Mus musculus: one gene and its partner. The protein of the gene in region 1 interacts with the protein of each later gene in a biochemical or structural test. Links are inferred from orthologs where the notes say so. Each region holds a gene or a part of one and is shown in the gene's direction. Other genes may lie near its edges. The genes, in order: Gtf2b and Gtf2f1.

Region 1 (3,814 bases):
CATCAGGTTGCTGGCTGGTCACCTCGAGGAATGGTGCCATATCTGGGGCTCAGTGTTGGTTTCTGTTGTTGGCAGATCTGGCATTCTGCAGGAGCTGTAGCCAGGTCGGCCTTGGTGAGTGGAAGTCCGTGTTGCTGAGCCCAAGCATAACCTCCATCTCGACCACCATGGCCACTTTGTTCATGTGTCCATTGAGCAATGACAGGGATGGCTGGGGAGAGAGGCTGACTGTCTACAGAAGAAAAAATTACAGTCTTGTAATCAACATTAGAAACTTGGGCTGGGATTAAGAGCATTTGGCTGCTTTTCTGGAAGACTTGGGTGAAATTCCTGGCTCACAAACTGTAACTGCAATCCTAAGGGATTCCTCTGATTTCCCTTGGCATCAGTAATGCACTGGTACACAGACACACACACACACACACACACAGGCAGATACCTATTACATATTTTTACAAACAACGTTACCATCTTTGGTATCAGTTGTGTAAGACTTTTTATGAGGAGATCCAACATGAACATCTGTTTACCCCAGATGGGGAACCAGTGATGGACCCAAGTAATGATTCTACCAAAGGCCATACATACATACACACCCCACCATAGTCACAAACTTCAATCCTAGAGCTGTCTTCAGGCAGCAGGTCAAGCTGGAGAATCTCTCCAGGCTACGTAGCCAGTTAAGGCCTATATAGTAAGAACCTGTCTCAAAAAATAAACAAAGCAAGATTGTGCAGTAGGAAAGCTCTAACATGGCATATAGTTCCATTTTCTGTATTGTTGAGCAATTGCCAAGATTTAAGTATTCCTGAAACCAACCTCTTTAAAGCATGTTCTAATGGAAGTTTCTGTTTGAGTCACAGGCTCCACTGGACAGACTCCCGGGGCATATGGAGTCAGAGTGTGTACATTACATTTTCATAGACACTGTTCACATTTTCCAAAAATGTTGACCAAGGTTAAATCTTTGTTTTATAGGGTACAGGAGCTGCAAGTTTTGATGAGTTTGGCAATTCTAAGTATCAGAACCGGAGAACAATGAGTAGCTCTGATCGAGCAATGATGAACGCATTCAAGGAAATCACGACCATGGCGGACAGAATCAACCTCCCTCGCAATATAGTTGTAAGTTCTTATCCGCCTCCTCCAAGCCATTCTGACTTTACTCTGCATAATTTAATGAATACATACAATTTTGATACTGTAAGTGATTAAATGGCCTAGACTTAATTAAACTAAGTTTCTCTGCTTTGAAGGATCGAACAAATAATTTATTCAAGCAAGTGTATGAGCAGAAGAGCCTGAAGGGCAGAGCTAATGACGCGATAGCCTCTGCTTGTCTGTACATCGCCTGTAGACAAGAAGGCGTTCCCAGGACATTTAAAGGTAGGCTTCAGTTGTACCAAGTAGAGCTCAGACAGGCAGCGTCAATGCTTAATGACACTGCACAGTGATCCATGTACACACCGTTTGCCAGTGGCTCTGTATGTTCTTTGACAGAAAAATGTACAAGACAGGCTTCTTTGCCATGTTCTTTGCAAGCTGCTTATGCAGGTAGCATTTTAATCCCTGTAAGTCAACAGTATAGCTGACTGGTTTTTTTTTTGTTTTTGTTTTAATTATTTATGTATGTGAGTGCATTGTAGCTGTCTTGAGAGGCACCAGAAGAGGGCATCTGATCCTATTACAGATGGCTGTGAGCCACCACGTGGTTGCTGGGAGTTGAACTCAGGACCTCTGGAAGAACAGCCAGTGCTCTTAATTGCTGAGCCATCTCTCCAACCCCACAGCTGACTGCTTTATAGGAGCCCTGACATCATCTGCTGGAGAGGCTTTTGAAGTTACATATATAGCTGGTGATGGAAACCACAGCCAGCATAGGTTTCACATTTGAGGGGTCAGGTCTTGGAAGGGGTCAATGTAATTAGGTTGTTGTTTCATTTTTGTTTTGTTTTTTGAGGCTTATTGTTTGCAGTTTTATGCAAACTAAGGACTTCTGATTTAAGTGCTGGCTTTTGTCGAGCTTGTGTTTCCTCAGGACAAACTCCTCCAGTGTTGTGGTGATACCTACACTGCCCATCACTGACCAGGTCCAGGTCGGGACTATAGTCACCATATCCAATGAGCATTTTCATAAGCTTTCCTAAGTCACGGGTAGAGGGATGACTAGCACAGCTCTTTTGCTGTAACAGCTCAAACAGGGGTAAGAGTTTAGCTTATATAGCGACAGCATGCAGACAGTTGCAGGTCATACATGTGCACTCGCATTCTCCAGCTTGAGTGTTTTCTTTCTTCTCCTTAGAACATTTCTTACCAGGCTGTCAGAGAAGTTGATTCCTTGGAGAAACTTATTGTATAAATTGAACTAGATAAGTTTGTGTTTTGAAAGAAAACAGTCCAAAGTGTGGTGAAAATATAAACCAATATGTTTTGAATAAATAAGCTCCATAGGAAGTACTTCCGAGAGGATTTAGGGCTCATCTTTAAGCCTTGATTGAATTTTTTACAACCAGAATATTTTAATAATTTATTAATAATAAATAATAATTATTTATTACTTAATTTTATAATAAAGTTTATAAAATGAATTGTCTTACAAATTCTTTAAAAATACTTTCTCTTTTAGAAATATGTGCTGTGTCTCGAATCTCTAAGAAAGAAATTGGCCGCTGTTTTAAACTGATTTTGAAAGCTCTGGAAACCAGCGTGGATCTGATCACAACTGGGGACTTCATGTCCAGGTTCTGCTCCAACCTTTGCCTCCCCAAGCAAGTGCAGATGGCAGCTACACACATAGCCCGCAAGGCAGTGGAGCTGGACTTGGTTCCTGGCAGGAGCCCGATCTCTGTGGCGGCAGCAGCTATTTACATGGCTTCCCAGGCTTCAGCTGAGAAGCGAACACAGAAAGGTAGGAGCTTCATCAGGACATCAGCCAATGAGATGGCAAGGCTGGGAGTGTAGTGGTCTTACTCATAATCTCCCATGGAAAGGGTTAACTATTCAGATCCTTGAAGAAGCATTAACTCATAAGGAGGAAGGATTGGACAGAGTCCTCTTCACCAAGAGATTATTTGCTTAGTGTGCTTGAGAGCCTGGTTTTCATTCCTAGCCTCACAACAAAACAATACCTCAAGAAAGTACAGTAGCTTGCTTATAGTGGTTATTTAGAGGTATACAGCCTGTGTGCAAGGCTCCTTTTCCAAATTAAATTGTTTAATTTTCATATGTGTCTTTTGTGAAGGGATTTACTGGAACATGCACAGCTTCTCAGTGGTTACTCTCCCTGGGTGATGCAGATATAGGCCAGATTCCACCAGATTAAAGTAGATAAAGGCAAGTTTATTAGGAAGCACCTCTCAAGTGGGTTCATCCATCTCACAGGTGGAGGTCAGTGAAGTTACACTTCCAGGCTAAAGAGGGGGTTTATGTTTAGGCAGAGTGATGACATCTCAGCTAGGATCTGGGATTGTGGTCATACATGGTCAAAAACCGAGTCCCTAGGCGGGCACTCTTGAGTGGAAATCAATGACATGTTAGCTCAGAGTTTTTTCCGTGTGGAAGTGTTTGGGGAAGGAGGAAGGATAGGTTTTCCTACCTTGAGCAGGGCTCCCTACCTAAGAGTCACGTCACCCCTTTCCCAGCCACTGTTAATTGTCAGTCATCTGTCAGGCAGGGATGGGGCCTCATAACCCTTCCCCCATTTGTGTGGTTGGTTTTTGTTTGTTTTGAGGCAAGGCCTCATCTATCCCAAGCTGGCCTCAAACTTGCCATGTAGCTGAGGATGATTTTATGCTGTGCTTGGGATAAACACAGG
Region 2 (4,453 bases), on another chromosome or scaffold:
CTCCTGTGAACTCTCACCGTGGGTACCAGGAGTCCCTTCTGCATGATGTCCCGGATCTGCCGTCCCCTCTGGGTGCTTCTCTGAGCCTCCTCCCGCAGCAGCTGGCCCAGCTCCACATGGTAGAAGCCGTATTTCAGAGCCATGTTTCTGCACTGGGTCCCTTTCCCGCAGCCGGGCCCCCCCACCACGAAGATGATCAGGGGATACCTCAGGATATCTATGGTGTTCAGGGAAGAAAGATGGTACTAGTGCAAGTCTATAAGAAATCCTGGACTCACGTTGAAGCATCCCCCTGTGGGGATTTTCCTGAGCCATTTGCACAGACCTCCATGAAGTGCCTTAGTGACTCCATCACCCCATTTTACAGATAAAGAAGAGGGCCCTCAAACTCACCCAGTAGCACCCTGCTCCGCCCACCATGCGGTCCTTTCTATGCTGCCTGCTTGTGCCTCTAGTCACACAACCTCTGAGTTGGGATAAGACCTCTCTGCCCTTTCCTCTCCTCCGCAGTCAGCCCTCGTTCTTTGTCCCTTTCAGTTCACTTTGGTCTTCCTAGCCAGCCTCTGTAACTTAAGGCGCACTCCCTGAAGGCGGAGAAATGAATGCCTCCCCTACTAGACACATCTGTGGAGTCAGTTGTTTATGCAAAGACAGTCATGGAATCAGCCTATCTCATTCCTCTCAAGTTCAATGCCTGTGCCTCCCTTGCCCCTCTGCTTAACCAACTCCTTTGCATCCCGTAGGCTCCCTTTCTCTGATTTGTCCCCAGAGAATAGTACTTTCCATTTCCGACACTGGCTCCTCTACTCAAGTTATATGCCAAAGGCATCAACCAACAGTGAGGTGGGAGCATGCGCAGATGCGTTCCTTCCGTGCAGGGGTTGGTGTACACCCCCAGGTAGTGGGGATACTTGCCCATCTCCCCCTTTCGTTGGCCCATGTAAACCAACCACCCCACGTCGTTACCCTTCTCCTGGGGCCTCAAAGCTCTGCCCAGCTGGGGCAGCGTGGACTCGCACAGACCCATCCCGCCCGCAATGCCGGGGTACGCTGGGGCCCTGTCTCCACCCTGCACCGAGTCCCCGGCTCCGCTCTACGTCACAAGGGACTCATTTTGCAAGATCCTCGGGATCCCCATATCCCAGGACACAGAAAACTGAACCTCAGACCCGCCCCAGAAGAGCCGAAGAAGCCACCCCACAGAGTGGGCCTCGGTTGCCATGGCAACTCGGCCTCCGTTCCCGCTTCTTGGACACATTTACGCTTGCGCAAGAGGATCGAGTTCGCGTCTACCAGGAGACTCCATTTCCACCCTACCCAGGATGCTCCGCGGTGCCTGCGTCGTGACGTCACGACGGGCGTGTCTACACGTGACTTTTCCGTGGTATATAAACAGAGAACGCCGCCAAAAGGTGGCTTTCTCTCCGAAGCTGGTGATCTAGAGTAGTTACAGCGGCTGCGCTCTTCTCGGTGTGGCAGCTCAACTTCCGGGTCAGGCTCTAACGCATGCGCAGAGAGTTAGGTCTCTTTTTCTCGTCTTCCAGCATTCTCCGAGACTTAAGGATTTGGAAATCCAAAGCACAGCATCACACTAACGTGACAACCAGGAAAGGTGCCTTCCCTTTCCTGGAGCCGAGGGACACAACGAAGTTCATCCCGTCAGGCCGACCGGGAGCAGCTTGAGCAACGGCCATGGCGGCTCTAGTGAGTATGAATGAGGTGGGGACAGAGGTGTCGCAGAACAGACCCCGCGCCCTCTCCTCGCCTTACAGACCCCTGCTCTCTTGCAGGGCTCCAGCAGCCAGAATGTCACCGAGTACGTCGTCCGAGTCCCCAAGTAAGTCCCCGTCCACCCACACTCCAGAACCTCGGCCCTGTGTTCCCCTGCCACCCCGTCCAAGACACAGTAACAGTTACCCCTTGGTAGTTAATGTCAGGGGTCGGTGACTTTGCCCTGAGTCAGACGGGTCAGGTCAGACATGGTGACTGCCTTTAATCTCAGCACTTGGGAAGCAGATGTAAGAGAATTTCTGTGAGTTCGCAGCCAGCCAGGTCTGTATAGTGAGTTCCAGGACAGCCAGGGCTACATAGTCGGGTCCTGTCCCAAAATAAAAGAAAACCCCAAACTGGTCACAGGTGGTATACATCCTGTTTTTTTGTGCCAAGTGCCATGTCCCTCAACTTCTAACTTTATTTTAGGTGGGTACATGCTAGGCAAGTACTCCACCACCGAGCCACACCCAGCCCCCTCTTAAGTTTTGTTTATTTTGAAGACAAGAGTCTTACTGTGTAGTTCAGATGGTTTGATCAGGCTGGCTTTGAACCCACTCAGATCCATTAAGACCCTTGCCTGCCTGCCCTTCTTTCTACATAGGGGTCCTCCGCACTTTTGGTTCCTTTTTTCTTTTTTTCTCTTTTGGTTTTTCGAGACAGGGTTTCTCTGTGTAGCCCTGGCTGTCCTGGAACTCACCTTGTAGACCAGGCTGGCCTCGAACTCAGAAATCCACCTGCCTCTGCCTCCCAAGTGCTGGGATTAAAGGCATGTGCCAACTCTGCCTGGTGGTCCCTTTGTTTCTTGAAGATTTAATTTATTATCTATGTGTATGAATGTTCTCTCTTGTCTCTCCTCTCTCACTCTCGCTCTTGCTCTCGCTCTCACTCTTTCTGTATGTGATGCTGTAAGAGAGCCTAGTGTCTGTGGATCTTTATCTGATGGGGTTGGGTTGGATGAGATGGATCTTGATTCTTTAAAACAAAACAAAACAAAACCCCTGAAAAACTAGAGCGTGGTTCTCAACTTGCAGGTTGCCTAAGACCATCGGAAAACACAGATATTTACATGACCATTTATAGCTTACAGTTGTGAACTAAACAAAAATAATTTTATGATTGGGTCACCGCAGCATGAGGAGATGTATTAGAGGGTCAGAGCTTTAGAACCATTGCTCTGGAGTCTTTTATGAGTTCCCAGAATTACCTACAACCAAGGGTGTAAAGCATAGATTTGTTGAATGAATAATCAATAGATTGAATAGTTTCTTGCCCATTCCAGGAACACAGCCAAAAGATACAACATAATGGCTTTTAATGCAGCCGATAAAGTCAACTTTGCTACCTGGAACCAGGTAAGTGGGTGATTCTGGGTGGCTGGGGCAGGGACCTAACCCTGGGCTGGTGACTATGTATAGTAATAACTTTACTGAAACGATGGTGCCCACACCTGTGGCTCCAGCAGATTTGTGATTCCAGCCATTTGGTGGCTGAGGCAGAAAGACTGAGTGTTTTAGACCAGCTTGTGCTACATAAATCCTAGCTCCAAAGAAAAGAAGTGCAAAGCAAAGCAAAGCATGTCAGAGGATGTGGTTCAGTCAGTAGAGCACGAATCTAGCATATATGAGGCCAAGCTGGATCCCCAGCGCCATGTATACTAGCCATGGTGGCACACGCCTGTCATCCCAGCACGGGAAGGGGGTAGGACCTCAAACTGAAGATGATCCTTGCCTGCACAGTAAAGCCCACGATACATATAGACGGTGTCTTTTTTTTTTTTTTTAATGGTTTTTCAAGACGGGGTTTCTCTGTGTAGCCCTGGCTGTCCTGAAACTCACTTTGTAGATCAGGCTGGCCTCCAACTCAGAAATCCACCTGCCTCTGCCTCCCAAGTGTTGGGATTAAAGGTGTGCGCCACCACTTGCCAGCCACAGACCATGTCTTAAAAAAGTAAAGTAGTGGGTAGCAAGATAACTCAGTGAGCAAAGAGGTGGCTCCAAGTGTGTCCTTGGATCTCATACAGGCAATGTCATGTACAACCTCCACAAAAAGAAATACACTTTAAAAGTTTGGGGTTTTTGTTTTTAAGAAAAAGCCAGCTGGCCGTAGTGGCACATACCTTTACTGCCAGTTCGAAAGCAGCAGAGTCAGTGGATCTCAGACTTCAAGGCCAGCCTGGTCTGCATGGTGAATTTCACTGTAGTGAGACCCTGTCTCAAAAGGATAAAATGATTCCACAAGATGGGTATAGCCAGAGATACTACTATCCCAGCACCAGGGAGGTAGAGGCAGGAGGATCATAAGTTTGAAGCCAGCCTGGGCTACATAACAGGACTTTCTAGATAATACTAAGAATAAAAAAAAAATGTTAAAGGCCAAAGTTTTAAACTATCCACTCTTTTGGGTGCCATGTTAAAATGTCACTATCTTCATATTGTTGAGGTTGCTCCTGGGCCTTCCTCAGGTGGTCACTATACATCTTTAGTCTCTGTACTCCATGATCTCATGAACCAGTCTGCTTTACTGTTATTGTAGTAAGTCCCACATTCCCTGTGACCAGAGTATTCTGTGTGTGTGATGTTTGTATGCATGTGGGCACGCTGTGCCTGTCAAGGCCAGAGTTGACATCAGGTGTCTTCCATAGTCACTCTACACCATATTTCGATGACATCTGTTGGGCCAC

What was found.
Region 2: the proteins of Gtf2b (region 1) and Gtf2f1 form a complex in vitro, tested with the Homo sapiens proteins (3 studies listed by BioGRID and IntAct). The link is inferred for Mus musculus from reciprocal best matches to the Homo sapiens genes GTF2B and GTF2F1.

Annotation. Positions count from the first base shown.
Region 1 is NC_000069.6:142,778,714-142,782,527, forward strand, and holds part of Gtf2b (transcription initiation factor IIB), read left to right. Parts: intron 1-978; coding exon 979-1,125; intron 1,126-1,256; coding exon 1,257-1,386; intron 1,387-2,626; coding exon 2,627-2,908; intron 2,909-3,814. UniProt on the Homo sapiens protein: General transcription factor that plays a role in transcription initiation by RNA polymerase II (Pol II). Involved in the pre-initiation complex (PIC) formation and Pol II recruitment at promoter DNA.
Region 2 is NC_000083.6:57,008,360-57,012,812, reverse strand, and holds the start of Gtf2f1 (general transcription factor IIF subunit 1), read left to right. Parts: upstream 1-1,524; 5' UTR 1,525-1,692; coding exon 1,693-1,704; intron 1,705-1,790; coding exon 1,791-1,837; intron 1,838-3,052; coding exon 3,053-3,125; intron 3,126-4,453. UniProt on the Homo sapiens protein: TFIIF is a general transcription initiation factor that binds to RNA polymerase II and helps to recruit it to the initiation complex in collaboration with TFIIB. It promotes transcription elongation.